Linked DNA regions of Coturnix japonica. The protein of the gene in region 2 purifies or fractionates together with the protein of the main gene of each other region. This does not show direct contact. Links are inferred from orthologs where the notes say so. Each region holds a gene or a part of one and is shown on either strand. Other genes may lie near its edges.

Region 1 (7,771 bases), on a different chromosome or scaffold from region 2:
ATTTAATTCTCAGAGTGCTACATGCTCAATATTTTTATCAAGCTTCTATATGTTAACTCCGTGCCTGTGAAAAGGCGGAGGGCAAGAAACAGCATGAGGCAGAAGTAAAGAAAAGTAATAAGGGAAAATGCATCAAACAGAAAAGGGGTGCTAATAATAATAATAAAAATAAAATAATAACAATAAAAAATAAGGTGGTTACTGCCTTTTCCAAAAAAAAAAAAAAAAAGGCTGATGGGAGCAAAGTTTACAATGCAGTGCTACCATAAACAGAATATTCAATGATAATCGATAATTATTGAACAGGATGCATGCCAGGAGCAGCAAACTACTGCAGTCCTTTCCCACTATCAGCCACGCACCCATGTAACTAACATTCAAAGGGATGGCAGAAAGGTGCAAACGTTAAGACAGCTACACTTAAGGTACAGCACTTAACATGTCATTAAACTCTTGCTAATTTACAAATCAAGTGTTTTAAGTTGACATTCGATATACTTTAAATAATATTCTTCAAAGTTCTTAAAAGAAATATTACATCCACATCATCCTCAAGGCATTCCCAGTTTAATAAGGCACAACTCAATATTGATAGAAGGACACCTTTCAGAATTTCCTTGTTTGCAATCTGGAAAAGGTCAGGACGTGTCTAGAATCTTGTCGTATCCCATTATCTGGAGCACCAACGGACCAAAAACGGTCTGATGGCCATTTTGGATTGCTCCTTATAGGAAAAATTGTTCAAATGGCAGCCATAAATTAATGGGGACAGTATAAAGCTCTGAGAGCGTACAGTCATGCAGCACCTTAAAGCAGACAAAGCTACTTCCTCACTAATGCGCTTCCTACACGACAGAAGCAGGCAAGCAGAAGTCATGGAGCACCTGCATTTACTTCATGGCACTTTTCTAGTCCTCTCTAGACTGAACGTGGGTTAGTTTGAGCGTATTGCGAAGCCATTTTGAAACTGATTTTGAGATTTTGCAGGATTATTTCTCAGTGTGGTAAAAGGAAGGGGAAAAAGTGTCTGTCAGATGCAAAGAAAACTCTTGTTTTTCACAAAGCGAAGAAGCTGAGCTGTCTTTCCAAGCCTATCTGTTGTGTTCTTCCTTTTGTTTCTGCATTAACTTCTCCCCCAGACACCCTTACTTTTGTTAGCAAGCCACGAATTGAAGGTGCAAGAAAGCAAAGATGAGGAAAAGGTTCAAGTTCCCCCTTCAAACAGTGAGTTTCCACATATGGTTACATCTCGTGCGACACTTGTTTGGAGTTGGGAATAGAAAAGAGATTATTTAAAACAGAGCACGTATTTCTATTTTGGTAATAACTACCTGCACGTCCCAGGTGTATTTTGAACCCAGTATTTATGTCTGAGAAGTACCAACCACACTGGCTTTTTTTTGCCTCCACAGGGGGAAAAAAAAAAGAATGCAGGACTGGAAGTAAATGAACACAAACATATGAAAACATCCAACTTGTCTATGAAGGCTGCTGACTGCAATAAATGAAAGCATTATAAAGAGAAATGAGATGAAGAAAACAGGGAGGGGTGGGTGGGGGGCGGGAAAGGAGAAAAGACTCACTATACCATGCTAACAACATTCTAATTACTGGTGTTGAGACAGGTGGGCTACAAGTGGAACATCTCCATCTGTGCTCTCCACTGGACTAAAATCCCTTTGGTTCAATGGAAGGCTGTTTTCTGATACCTGTTCTCAGCTTTGGTCATTCTCATCACCTCAATGTTTTGGATCTCTGTATCAAATTAATGTCTATTTAAAAGAAACACCAACTCTCTAGGATTGTAGGTATCTACAGAATCTTCCACAGAAGAAAATGAGTATTACAGGATCTGATCCTTTATCTCAAAGGCCAGTAAGCAACAACAAAGTCAAGGTTGCGTTGCTTTTTGCTCTAAGTATTAAAGGTTTCACTACATCTTCTGGTTAACGCTACTTTCCAAGCACTTCCTCAGCCTATTTAACCCACTCAAATAATATCTGACAGCAGAGCCTGAAGAAACACTGAAGAATGGTAAATCCTGAGATTATACAAAGCAATGTAAATCTCAGCCTGGAGGTGAACGTAGCAGCTGACCCAGAATGAAGGGCAGAAGCGTCCACTGAAGCTCCCTCCTTTAGGATTACCCATTCTAAACCTTAGCATGGGCATCTAAGCACTGGATGCTCATCTGAGGCTTGCTCCCCATTCAGAAGTCACATCCGACAGACAGAGATGGCTTTCAATGGGTAATGACTCCTTCTTTAAGGGGCAATACTAGAACAGAGACATGACGTTGTGATGGAGTGTTACACGATACGTGAGGTAACAAAAGCAGAATTACAGTTCCAGAGCTACACTACCCCCAATAGATCTAAGTTTTGCATTCAAATATGCAATGAAGCAGAATTAGTTACGGTTCCCATGGGAACCATAACTGATTTTTCCTGACCTGCAGCAAAATTCTGAACATAATAGCAAAAATACTGCAGTTGCAGACTCCTTCCCTTCCCTGAGGCCCTCCCTGGGCTGGTAACTGCTCCTCTTCCTCATAATAGGGAAAAGTGGACAATCAATTGCTAACAAAGTTCAGACATTCATCTCGATGTTATCTTTAGAACGGTTTGCCATCATATAATATCAAATAAGCACTGTGCTTCGAAGCCAGGAGTTAAGAAGAGTTTTTAACGTGCCTCAATGTGGGTCAATTAGCAACCATTGGAGTAATTTAAGAACGGGCCTTTTGAGTGCATGATAAGTCCGTTGTTCTGCTATCCAAATGTCCAATTGTATCCACGCATCCTGCTTCAACCTCAGATGCATCTCATGCTATATTCCTTCAGTTCTTCCACACACACACATATATGTGTATATATATATATATATATCGATATATATGTATTTATATATAAAGTAAGTAGTTGAATGGCAATTAAAATCATTTTTCCAGCAACCAACTGCCTTTAGAAGTTCATATTTTAACGTCAAGCAAAGCTTTACAGGGACTTGAGAACCATGAATGCGTCATTAAAATCGTTCAGGAGGGGTTGACATCTGATCATTTCTGTTCCTATGAAATTCAAATAAACTGTTATTTGGTAAAAAAAATGATAATAATAATAATAATAATTTCAAAGGGCATCTTAACTACACCACATCATTTCCCAGTAATGTTATTTTTCTTCTGTATGACCGCCTTTACTCAGTTTGTTCTTCTATTTCTCTGAATAGACTAGAAGAAATCAAACGAATACATGATTTTACTTATTTTTACATAAACGATGAATTACATGGTATCCTGAAAGGAGGCTAAAAAAAATCCTTAGTGCTTTCTACAACAGGACAGACGAAATAGTGCACAGTCCTTGATTTTTTTTGGTATTCCCCAACAAGTCTCTGTAGAAATGGCAGATTTGTTAAAGCCAAAGAGTATGTCCTTTCTAGTAGCCTTACTTTCTGGACCTGAAATTTTGGTCAGAAAAATGCTGGGGAGGGGAGATGTGGATGTATCTTTTTAAATGGAGATGCCAAGTTATTAAGTTTGAAGAAAAATATGTTGATTAAATCCTTACATACTTTAGGTGTGCGTGAACTTACCAATGTAGTTTTATTGGAGGCCATTTTTATTGCAGACTTGCAGAGCTTTTACTAGAAAAATGCATGACAATTAAAAGGAAGTTGACGTTACTCAAAGAAAGGCATCCCAATACAACATGGTCCTTGTTCCAACCCCCATGTATTCACGGCATAGAACATTTACAGGATGGATTAAATCCAGGACAAGAAGCAGCTTACTGCTTTGTCCGGCATAACCCAGTAACACACCTTTACCTAGTCGGGATATATAGTAACGAAGTGGTAGATGGGGGGGAAAAAAGGTTTTTCCAAGGCCTTCTAAGGCACGGAGACGTTTGTAGGGAAAAGGGGGAGGACCATCAGGGATGCTTATTTCCTTCAACCCAACAGAACAGGAGCTCAGATTCCAGCAGTTAACTCAAATATAGCTTTAGACGTGTTAACTGTGGATCCGGCGGGGAGCAGCTCCACGTCTGGAGTGTAACAGAGCACCCACCGCTTTCCAAACTGCGAATATTTCTTTTAATACACAACGCTGCCCTCCGATTCTCAAGTTTGAACGAATTAAAGGCCCTGCACCGACGTGAGCTCGGCTAAGCTGCACACGCTACGTTTAACCTAAGCAAGCGAGTCCAACACCATCCATCCCCTTCACCACCACACCTCTCACACCGACCACCTCTTTAAGCACGTTATCATCCCTGCCCCGTTCCAACTACAAAACTTCGGATCGCACACAGGCCCGAGCACGGCACAGCACACGGCCCTGCAGGGCCCGAGGGCTCAGCCCCCCGCTAGGGGGGGGGGTGGGGGGAGCGCGGCGGAAAGGGCCGAGCGGGAGAGCTCCTCGCGTCCCCATCGGAAAGAGAAAGGGGAAAGAAACCACAAGAACGATCCCGATACCCCCCACCCCCAACCCATAAGGAACGGAGCCCCGCGGGCCGCCGGGAGGGAAGGAGGAAAGGAGGGAGGGAAGGAGGAGGAAGGGGGGGCATCGCCTCGCCATGCCCGCCACCCCCCGCCCCGCCACGTTTCCCCGCCGCGGAGGCCGCTCCGGGCGCTGGCGGGCGGCTTTGTCTGCCCGGCCCGGCCCCGCCGCCCACCCGCCCTCCCTCCTCCCTTCCTCCTCCCTTCCTTCCTTCCTTCCCGCGGGGCCCTCCCGCCATGCCCACTCCTCCCGCGGCCGCCGCGCTATAGGGGTTGGTGGTGGTGGGGGGGGGGGGGGAAAATCGGCCGCACCCCGCGCTCCATCCCCGCGGATGTCGGCGGGGAGTAAACGTGGGAGCGGGGAGTGCCGCCGAGACGAGGAAAGAAGGGGAAAAAGAAGGATACAGACTTCAGTGCCGCTCGGCCGCGCCGCTCCCCCGTCTCCTCCCGGCTCTCGCCCTGCGCGCTCTGAGCGGCGGCGGCAGCGGCGGCATCCGAGGGGCTGAGGGGGGAGGGGAGGGGGCGGGGAGCGGCGCGGGGCGGGACGGGCGGTGCGGGGCGGGTTGGGCCGAGCTGAGCGCGCCGGCGGCTGACGGGGCAGAGCGAACGACGCCGCCTACGCGCCAGCCGCAACCTCCTCCCGTCGTCGCCGCCAGCACAGGAGGGGGCCAAGACGTCTGTCCCACGGGGGGCGAGCGCAGGACCGCGCCAGGCGTCCAAAAGGAGGAAGATGCCTCGCGGAGACAGAGAAAGCGACTGGGTGAGGGAGGCCGGCGGGACGCGGGAGGCAGCCGCCATCATGGCCGCCACCGCCAGGGAGGGAAGGAGGGAGAGGGCCCGGGGAAAGGCCTTTATTGGCGGTTAATGGAGAGCAGAGCGGGGCTGCAGGGGGACAGAAAGCGGGAGCCCCGGTGCCGTGTCGCTGCTGCAGGGCGGCAGCACCCAGCAGCACTCGGCAGCACTCACCCTTTCTCGCCGCGTGTGAGAGGAAAGGGGAGGGCGGGAGGGAGGCGAGCGCTGCGTGGCTGCCGGCGGAACGAGGCCGGGCCCAGCGCTGTCCGCCGGGCACAGCTCCAGGTCAGCGCTGCCTCCCGCCTGGGCCGAGGGTGGAGGGGGAGCAGCTGCGTTGTGTTGTACCGCGCTCCCGCCCGCCGAGGGTGGTGGGGTGCGGGGCCGCTGCGGCTAATTATAACCCCGCACTACGGGCTGCAGCGATCGGCAATTTCCGGAGAGAGGGAAAAAAAAAGAAGGAGCGCTGTGCCAGCGACGCTCGGGCCGCTTCGGGTCTGCTCGGGCCTTTTCGGATCTGTTCGGGCACCTATGAGAGAGCCCTTCCGCTGTCGGAAATTGCCGAGTGGGTTGGGGGAGTCGGTGAGCTCTGCGTCTTTTTTTTCCGGAAATTGCCGAACTTGAGCCGATCGCCTGTTTCGTCGGTGTCGGCTGATTCCGGAAATCGCCGAAGCGAGCCGAACGGGCTGGCGTTCCTCTTTCGGCTGTTTCCGGCGGCTGGCGAAGCGGATAAGCTCGGGCGAGGACGAGTCGTTCGGCTCATTTCGGAGACGGCCATTAGTAACGGCGTCGATGAGTTTTTATTAGGTGCCAAAAACAGAGGGGTATCGCACGGAGCCGCAGCCCCTCGGGACCGATTTAGGCTCTAAAATCCGAGCTATTTTTTTAATTAAAGCCCGGAGGTGCGGCCGGGTAGAGCAGGAGGAGGAGGAGGAGGAGGAGGGCGCTCGTAGTGCGCGGAGCTGAATTTCAAATTACGTAAGAGCTGCGGCAGCCATTGCTGAGGGCCGAGCGCTGCGCCGGGCAGGGGCTGCCACCATGAAGAACATGGTACGTGCGGGGAGCGCTGCGGAGCTCGGTTTATAAGGGTGTAGTGCTCTCTGTGTTCTCGTAGGTTGTGTTTTTGTGGAGCTGAGGGTTACCAGAGCTGCTGCGGCTGTTGGGCCGCTGTGCGCGGGGGAGGGAGGGAGGGAGGGCAGCGGCGGGGGAGGAAGGTTCTGGAAGCGGTGCTCGGTGCTGGGTTGTTGAGGGGCGGCGGGTGCTGCTGTTCAAGCAGGGGCGGGTTGTGTCTCTCTAGGTGGCTCTGAGTTGGGTTGTTCTCTAGGCACAACGATGGAGAGCGGTGGGAGCGCGGCCCGGGGCGCGCCGTTGCCGGTAATGGCGGCAGGAGGGGGAGGGGGAAAATGGCGGCGCCGAGAGCGGCGGGGGAGGGAGGAGCGGGAGCGGGGGAGGGAGGGAGGCTGCAAACCGATCCGTGCGTGTGGCGGAGCGGCAGCTGGATCCTGCGCTGCGCTCAGGGCTCGCCCGGCGCTGCTGGGCGCTCGGCGGGGATCGCTTTCCCGCCCTGCAGGCGGCGGCTCCGGGCGCCATTTTGCTCCCTGGCTGCGGGGCTGCTCTGCTGAGAGCCGCCACATGGCGGAGCCTCCCCGCTCTGTCCATGGGCGGCGGGGCGGGCTGAAGGAGGAGCAGCGCCGTGCTGGGCTTCCCGCCTGGCTCCTGGTTGAAGATCCTGGGGAGCTGCTAAGATGGGCTGCGTTGCTTTTTCTTCTGGTTTCTGTATTGAGAGCCAGGATTGCGTTTTCGTCAAATATCAATAAGGACTGTAGTTAAAGTAGTTTATGATGGTGCACGTTGTAACTGCAGTGTAATGCAGTTAACACAGGTAGCTGGGCCCTGGCCGGGGTTGTGGTTAGAGACGTGCAACTAACGCGTGTAAGGCAGTGCCTGCTTTTGGAGCCCGTGGGGCAGCATTTAGGATATTGTATGGTGTTCTTCATTCGTGTAGTGATAGGGACATATTGCCATATCCTGGCCTGTGCGTATGCCTAACTTTTGCTTTGGCCAGGGCACATACAGGTCTGGCAGTATATGGTTGATGAGTGATGTGTGAACTTGAAGCTGTTCTGTTTATCTGCGACGTCTGGTACATGTTTGCTCTTTAAAAGCAAATGCAGTTATTATGGATAGCCTGGCTTCCAACATGGAGCTTTATTCAAGTCTTGAATGCAACATCCTTTCCCCTATTCTGTTCAAAAGATTCTATGAAGTGAAGCTTTATAGAATAAGGGTTTGTATTTTTTCCCATCTGTACAATGATGCATTTACTACTAATCCTTGTGCTGCTGGATCCGAGATAATTTTGACAGATATTCCAGGGTATATCCCCATGTACTTCACAATAAATGATATCTGTTATAGAATCAGATAGTATGAATGGATTCTTGTTCCTTGGTGTGAGGATGCTTTGTTTGGAGCTCTG
Region 2 (7,715 bases):
GGAGACAGCAATCAAGGCCATAGAGCGTGCAATGCCAGAAAACTGAATCCCAGGAGAGCACATAAAGATTGCTTGAATTTTAGATAGAAGCAGACCATTCTGATGCTTTAGCTCAATTAAAAAGAAATGTCTATGGTCTCAAAAGTGGAATACAATGGAACATAAAATAATTTAGCCCTTCATGTCTTACTCTGCTGATCTTTTGCTCTTTTTTTGCTACATTTCTGTATCTGCTGTTCTTCCTCAGCAACAGATGAATCCAGGATACACGCTGTGAACTGCTGGAGAACCTTTAGGTCTGCATTTGTGCCGCTGTCATTCTGTGAGCTTTCCCAGATGCAGCCAATTTTCACAGGCTGTAGAACATGGAGCCTCTTCCCTTTGGCCATGAGTTCATCCCACTCCTTTGCTTTCAGCTTTTGACGAACCTTCTGATTCTCTGGATCACACTCCTAAAAAGCCACGGGTGAAAAAACCTGTTACAACCATGCCAGATTAATGATGTACTTTTAAAAACCACCTTCTTGTTGTGTTCCCTGAGACACAAGTTTTTTCCTGCACTAAGTAAACGTGAGTTAGGTCGCTGCCAGGTCTATATGACTTCTTCGCGTATCAATATTTAGTACTTCATGGGCTGGAAGCAAAGATGGAAATCCAGTGACACCTGGTTCACTTACTTCTGTCACTCCTTCATCTTCAGATAGGTACCCATGGGGTACAAAAAACCCATCGTCATCATCTTCATCCTCTCCTTCCTCTTCATCATCCTACAAAGTAAACTCAGCTCTTTAGAAACATGGCACTGTCAGATAGAATTGTTTCTAAAATCCGTTCTTCAGTACACTGAATCCTTACCCCTTCACTATGGGAAAGGCTTTCACCAGGTTCCTCCTCTTCCCACTCTTCATCACTATCTACTTCATAATCCAGTAATTTCTAGAAGAAATGCCAATATGCCACTTGTTAGCCTGAAAGTATGATGCCAGAGTCCATCTAGTGCTTCATAACTCAATAGCAAGACTGAGCACACAAGTGGATCCCAAAGAAAAGTTAAATCTGATCACCATGTATTCACTTCAAGAGCATAAAGAAAGAATCCAACTACATTGCCTGTAAGGTACTTACACTGTCCTTTGACCAAGGATTCCTGGGACGAATCATTGTGGTTTTCTTGTTCCATGTACCCCAATATGCAGGACGGTGATTTTCACAGAACTGCAGAAGTTTCATTCTGCCAAATTTCCCCCTTTCAGGAACAGCATCTGTTTTGCAGTTATCCACCACTACCACATCACTGTTAAAACAAAAGACTATCTTCAGAACCTACAGGATGCTCCCCTGCTGCTCAGGATAATCTCTCTTATAACATTTCAGATCAGTCACAGTATCAACACAGAACTTGAATTGATGAGGACACTCACAATTCAGTTGCAAGAACAGGAATTTCATATAAGCTACTGACCCCTTAACAATACTATGGGCAACAGCACCCCTGCCTTAGTTTCAAGAAGTACAATAGGCATCTATCACACCTTCCTTGGAATCATTCCCCTTTTCATCACAAAAACAAGTAGAGAAAAGCCCCGATACATAGACTGACCTGTTCACTATGTCGGTACTGTTATTGACAAAAGTAGGTCCAGTTCTACGTGGCTTACGACATTTGAGATCTCTTAAGAAAGAAACTTCACTATTCTGTGCACGCAGGAGCTGATCCAGCTGTTCTAAGAAGTCTGGGTAAAGGGCAATACGACAGAGGGGAGCTAAGACCATGTTCTCCTTAATCTCAAAAGGAGCAAACTTCCCACAAGAGCCAGCAAGAATCTGAAATGGTAAGTGAGGATTGTTAGGACCTGAACACCTGAGAAACTACAGTACTAGCATATTCATAACATAAACCTATGGAAAAAAACCAACATGTTACTGGTATTTGAATGAGGATTTACAATAAGCCCTTCCTATCAGAGACTGCAACAGATCATCCTCTAATGGTCTGTACACCCAATACAGCAGAATACAAAGCTGAGATTTTACTCAAGCAACTCCAGGTTCCTGTCATCTTTAATCTGGTCACAGACTTGTTTTTTTTAAACCCTTCAGTGTTTTAAAATGAGGAAGTACTAACACCTGGTACACTTAAGGGGCTCTAAGGGAAAGGAAACAAGTGTATTTGTAAGAAGATGACTAATGAAAACCCAATAAAATGAAGGCATGGCAACAGCTCACCTTTGGGGCTTGAGGAGTCTTTGGTTTCTGGAAGAATCTTGTAATTTCTGCTTTCTGAGCATTAATACGCTAAGGTCAGAATGAAAATGCAAATTGTAATTAAAGGTATGACAAGGCCTCATAATTTAAAGTGAACTCAAGCATGACCCAACTTCAAATCTAATGAGGCATAAAACAAAGTTCTGTTGTTTATCAGCTCCTGTGATGCAATAAGAAAAAAAAAAAAGTAATTGTCTGCTCTAACACACCTACACAGATTCCAACATAATTGCTAAGACAACAAATGCAGGAAGAATTTAATAGATAGAACAGAGACAGCAGCATTTAAATAAGACAAGGAAACTGCAAGATCTATCTGGTGGAATGGCACTATCTGATCCTATTGGACTGACCCTGTTCCAAAGGGACAAGCCCATACCCCAGGAGGGTAAAGCAGCAGCTCCATAGTGAATAGCTCAGCAGCACTCAGCAGGGTGCCAGAAAACCCATTCAGAGCATTTCACCAGTACAGAAGAGCTTAGAGAAAGCATTTACCTTTTCCTCCTCTTTTAACCGTTTCTCCTCTTCTTTCTTTCTCTTCTCCTCAAGTTTTGCCCTTTAATATAAAAGTTCATTTCACTGGTCACAAATCAAAGTATCTGCTTGGACTGTGACAGGTGAGAAGACTTAATTAAGACCACATCGCACTATGCACTGAGATAATTTGTTAAACAAGTATGGCACTTGACTGAAATAAGCGTAAGACTCTTCTTCATTCCTCCTAAATCAGTGATTAAACTGTTTTGGGCACAAAGTATACGGGATGTTTCAAATTTCCCTCAATAACAAGAAAAGGTATTTAATGAGTTATCACATTACAAGTGACTTCCTCATCAGAGGACAGCAGTGCCAACAGATGCAAAGCAAGTAGCAAGACTGGTCAGGAAGGGAAAACTCAGTGGTTCATGACAGCTCTTCTCAGCCATTTCAGATCAGAAACCCAGCTCAACCAGCAAGCAAAAAGCAGTGCTGAGATTAAGATCTGTCAGTCCTTCAACCACTTTGAACATATTCAGTGACAAATAGGTACTACTGTCTCATCCTCTAAAATGGACAGAAAGTGGGTCTACAAAGGTATCACATCACACATGATTCCCCCTGGCCTTTAGCACTTACTCCAAGGCTTCCTGCCTCTCCTTGCGTTTCTCCTCCTTCACTCTCAACTTCTCAGCTTTTTCCTTTTCTTCTTTCTCTTTCTTTTCTCTTCTTTCTTTCTCTTTCAGTTCTTTCTCTTCCTCTTTTCTCTTCTTTGCCTCTTCCTTGGCTCTCTCCTTAGCAGCTTTTGCCTCTTCTTTCAGCCTTTCTTTTTCTTCTCTTTCTGCCTGTAACTTCTGCAGCTTGTCAGCTCGCTCCTGATCCTAGTTCAAGAAAAACCATTAAGTGTCTTTGTACACAGAAATAGCTGCCGCCACACACACACACTTGAGTAACATAATGACTTCTCCATAACTTCTTGACCCATCCAACACAGAACTGATGGGTTCCAGCTCCTATAGCTGCAGTTAGGAACCGCATGCTATGACACAAATGAGAACGTGGTATGCTTACCAATTAAAATAACCACAAATTCAAGGAAAATAATTTCCCTACCCTGTAGATATCGGTAACTCCAAAAGGAAACTAGGATATGTCTGAACTCAGAGATATAAACATCCTTCTGGTACATTTCCAATTTCTTTTTGTTTATTTCACATCTAAGTCTTGTTGGCAGGATGAAAAATTACTGAACAGCATCACAGTGTACAAATAATGCCAAAACTGTGCCAATGCTAAAAAGCAACACTGTCAGAACTGAGTCATAGCACTCAGTGAAGATCTACTGGGTTGCTTTGGGAAGAGGTATAAAGCAAACAGGGGCGGTGGGTTGATTTAGCTTTCAACACAAAGCTTCCACATTCTCATCTCTCTCAAATGTAACTATTGATATAAATAAACATCATAAGTAAATAACAGGAAAAGAAATCCAACAGTCTGGAACTTTACATGGGGCACTTTGAAAGGCATCTCAGGGAGCACAACCAGCCACTTACAGCTTACATAAAAAAACTGCAACCAACCAATTTATACATTAGTTACTACAAAACACAGCAAGGATTCACAAGCACAGCCCTTCCCAACTGCTGTTAAAATAACAGCCAGCTTTTCAGCATGCAGAGCCCACTCAAACAAGGCTGACTGCTTGAGATCTCCATGTGATCCAACAGACTGCTCTGTATTTAGCACTGCATGACTGAAAACAGAAGGGACAGCAAAATTACACTGCTATTTTGTTCGGATATTCTGACTAGCAGCATTTGAGTGGACACATACTGCAGCCTTAAGGATTTCCAGCAGTGACATCCAACAGTTTCTTCAGCAAGCCATGAAACCGTTGGCCCTTTTGCTAAAAAACAGATGTTACTTATTGTGTTTTAAAGGGAGAAGGGTGAGGAAGTGAGGCAGGAATCCTAAACAGAAGCCTCTGGAGGATTTCACTTGTGTCCACAATGTAGGTAACCACTCTCTAAGGAAGGGTTTGAAAACACTCCCAAAAGCACTTTGATGAGCAGTCAGCAACATTTCGAGTTTCTTAATATCCTACTGAAGTACACAGAAATGCAGTGCAGGCCACCCACACTTCATTAGGTATGCATTAAGAAGATTTTGGAACAAACCGAGTGCTTTAACCGCATGCATTAAGACTCTTCCATATTCATCAGTGAGGAAAGCCAGGGAAAGAGATGCTATAAGTAGATGGAGATGAAACACACGGGGCTTTGCTTACTATTCAATGCAAAAGCACAGCAGGTTAACTTTGTATGTCAGTGAAAATGCCTTACTCTTTGCAATCTCAGCTTCTCCTTCTCTGCAGAACTTTTGTGGAGTTTCTGAGATACCTGAAATCACAAAAAAAGGAAGTTTTATAGATCCCTGTCATTCCCTTTTCACAAGGCACTAAAACTCCTAGAAAGAACAGCAAGCTCCATTTAAATTACATTGACTTTTTCTTCATACCATATTCAGCAACACAAGCATTCTTTAAGCGCTAGATATGCTTAAACTCCCATTCTTAGATCCAATCACACTTATTTATACATAAGCCTGAATGCATCTAATTGTTTCAGTTTACATTAGGTCCTCCTATTACTAGACTTTGCATAAACAAACTCTTCTAGTTACTCAGTCCTTAAGTATCATTTGCAATGTAATACCATGAACAAAAAAGCAAACAGGAGGTACAGCTGCCACAAATCACAAGAGCACCACAGAGAGCATAACATTAACCCAAAGGAAGCGACTTTGCCATATCAACTTTTGATGCTACCAGCTCTTTTTGCCAGATTATTTAGCTACAGCTTCCTAATTATAAGGACTATTATCTATACTTCCATGCTGTTCCTGCTGGTGACCATAGACCTCTTCTTCCTCTACTATCAGTCAGTCAACCCTATGGGTCACACCTTCCTTTCAGTTAAAACCATTAAAGGAAGAAGGTACAAAGGTACTCTGTATCTAAAGAGTAGCACTTGTTGACACATTAGTTTCTGAGCAGCACTTCAGCACTCTCTGTCTTGGCTTCTTGTATCCACCTCTTCCTCCTGCCATTCTCAGGCAAGGGCAGAGCATTTATCCCTGTGATTAAAGCAGATCAAATGCTTTATTTTCTGTACTCATACACAGAAGTTTAGAGTGTAAAGCTGCATTGGGTGATCCTGTACTCACATGATCCAAAATAACACTAAACTAGGAGCTTTGCTTTACTGAAGTGTTTCTGCTTTAGAAAGCAGACATTCTAGCACAGACAACAGTGCAGACCAGCACAGACATCCCACCCCAGCAAACAGAATGAACAAGGTCAACCTCACCTTGTACCAGGCAAAACCAATCACTTGTTGACATGATTACATTACATTCAAAGTCAAGAGCTCTCTTCTGTTCTGCTGTACCAGGAGAATGGTACAGCCTAATTCAGTTTGTATGTGCATTTCAAAGTGATATCACAAGTTTTAACAGCCTGAAGTCAGAACCAGGTAGTTCTCTGTACACCTGGGAACATCTGCCTCGTTTTCCCTTCCAATAATGCAGTTAAATGCAAGCAAGGACAGCAGTCAGAGAGCTCAGTTGAACTTAGGGCTGTACAGGTATCACAACTGAGTGTCGTGTACCAGAGCATCCTCCCTTTACACCTCCACCAATCTGCTCCCCAGGAAGACTGAGCACTTTCCAACCACTCAAGTCACCATTTCAGCCATCTGTTGGCTTTAAAGCCTCCCTTTCAGCACGACACCAAAAGTCACAAAGTTCAGAGGTCTTTTGTTACAGAGCAGGCAGTGACCAGAAGCTACAATATATCCCAAGCCCCAGCACACACAGGGCTGTCAGATCAGAGGCATCCCATCCCCTCCAGCCCTCAGCAACATCTCATTGTCACAGGAGCACACAGTGACTTATCCCTTAAGCACCCCCATGCTGGACAGGGCACACAAAATGGCTGACAGCACAAGCCATACACACTTAATTCCTATTGAGACTTATTTAGCTCGTTCTCTTTCTTCAGAGGGAAAACTGCACTTGTGTTAATGCCCTGTAGTTTCACTTAAAGTGCTTTTAACAGCCTGGATTCAAGATCTCAGAGCTGCTGCTGGAAACAAGATGGCCCACAAAAAAACCCTCAGCAACAGAGAGAACAGAATGGAGGTTATGAACCACTATCTATTGTACAGAACTTGTTTTGAGCTCTGTCCCTATCCCAATTAGTAAGGTGTACATCCCAAGGCATACACTTCATGATCACTATAAGAACCTGTAACAGGAGCTTAGAGCTGCACTCATGCTATTCAAACATAGCAACTCAAAACCAAGACTTAAGCCATACAGTTTAAAGGATTCAAGAGGGTAATCATTCGCTCACATTATTAATAGATGGACAACACATTCCATCTGGTCTCACAATCTTTGCAACTGATTTATCCTTTTCATGACAAACAACCCGTCTACCATGTAATAAGTCTTAAACAACCAAGAAAAGAGACCAACCTTCCTAACAGGCGTTGAGACAGCTAAAGGACTAGTGTTTCTCTTGGTTTCTGCAACAGGCTGCGCCTCAGGGGAGCTCACAGAGAGAGAGCTCAACGAGGAATTAGTAAGTACAGAGTCTCCTTCATGGGACAATTCTACGGTCTCATTTTCTGATGTGACACTTCCATCCAGAGAAGTGACTTGGGGAGATTTGGCAGCCATAATATCTTCAAGAAGCACTACGGGCATCTTCCCCTCAAATATGATGTCCTTCAGTTCACCCTGATTAACCTTCGTGTTTTCCAAGTTGTTACACTCTGTCAACTCAGAACAAGACTGGATTCCATCTACCAGATCTTCACCTTTATTTGCAATAGCTTCGCACCGCACGTCAGTCTCCATTGATTCATCAGTTTGGTTGTTCTGAGTGGAATTCAGGCAATCCAGCTCGT

What was found.
Region 1: the proteins of CHAF1A (region 2) and CBX3 purify together in Homo sapiens (affinity purification with mass spectrometry; 5 studies listed by BioGRID and IntAct, with this or other methods). This does not show direct contact. The link is inferred for Coturnix japonica from reciprocal best matches to the Homo sapiens genes CHAF1A and CBX3.

Annotation. Positions count from the first base shown.
Region 1 is NC_029517.1:29,451,943-29,459,713, reverse strand, and holds the start of CBX3 (chromobox protein homolog 3), read right to left. Parts: upstream 5,026-7,771; 5' UTR 4,913-5,025; intron 3,649-4,912; 5' UTR 3,622-3,648; coding exon 3,598-3,621; intron 1-3,597. Other genes in the region: HNRNPA2B1 (heterogeneous nuclear ribonucleoproteins A2/B1), read left to right, coding at 5,234-5,263.
Region 2 is NC_029543.1:1,628,439-1,636,153, reverse strand, and holds part of CHAF1A (chromatin assembly factor 1 subunit A), read right to left. Parts: coding exon 7,282-7,715; intron 5,142-7,281; coding exon 5,085-5,141; intron 3,624-5,084; coding exon 3,382-3,623; intron 2,822-3,381; coding exon 2,761-2,821; intron 2,296-2,760; coding exon 2,227-2,295; intron 1,825-2,226; coding exon 1,601-1,824; intron 1,295-1,600; coding exon 1,126-1,294; intron 937-1,125; coding exon 856-936; intron 768-855; coding exon 678-767; intron 453-677; coding exon 191-452; intron 1-190. UniProt on the Homo sapiens protein: Acts as a component of the histone chaperone complex chromatin assembly factor 1 (CAF-1), which assembles histone octamers onto DNA during replication and repair.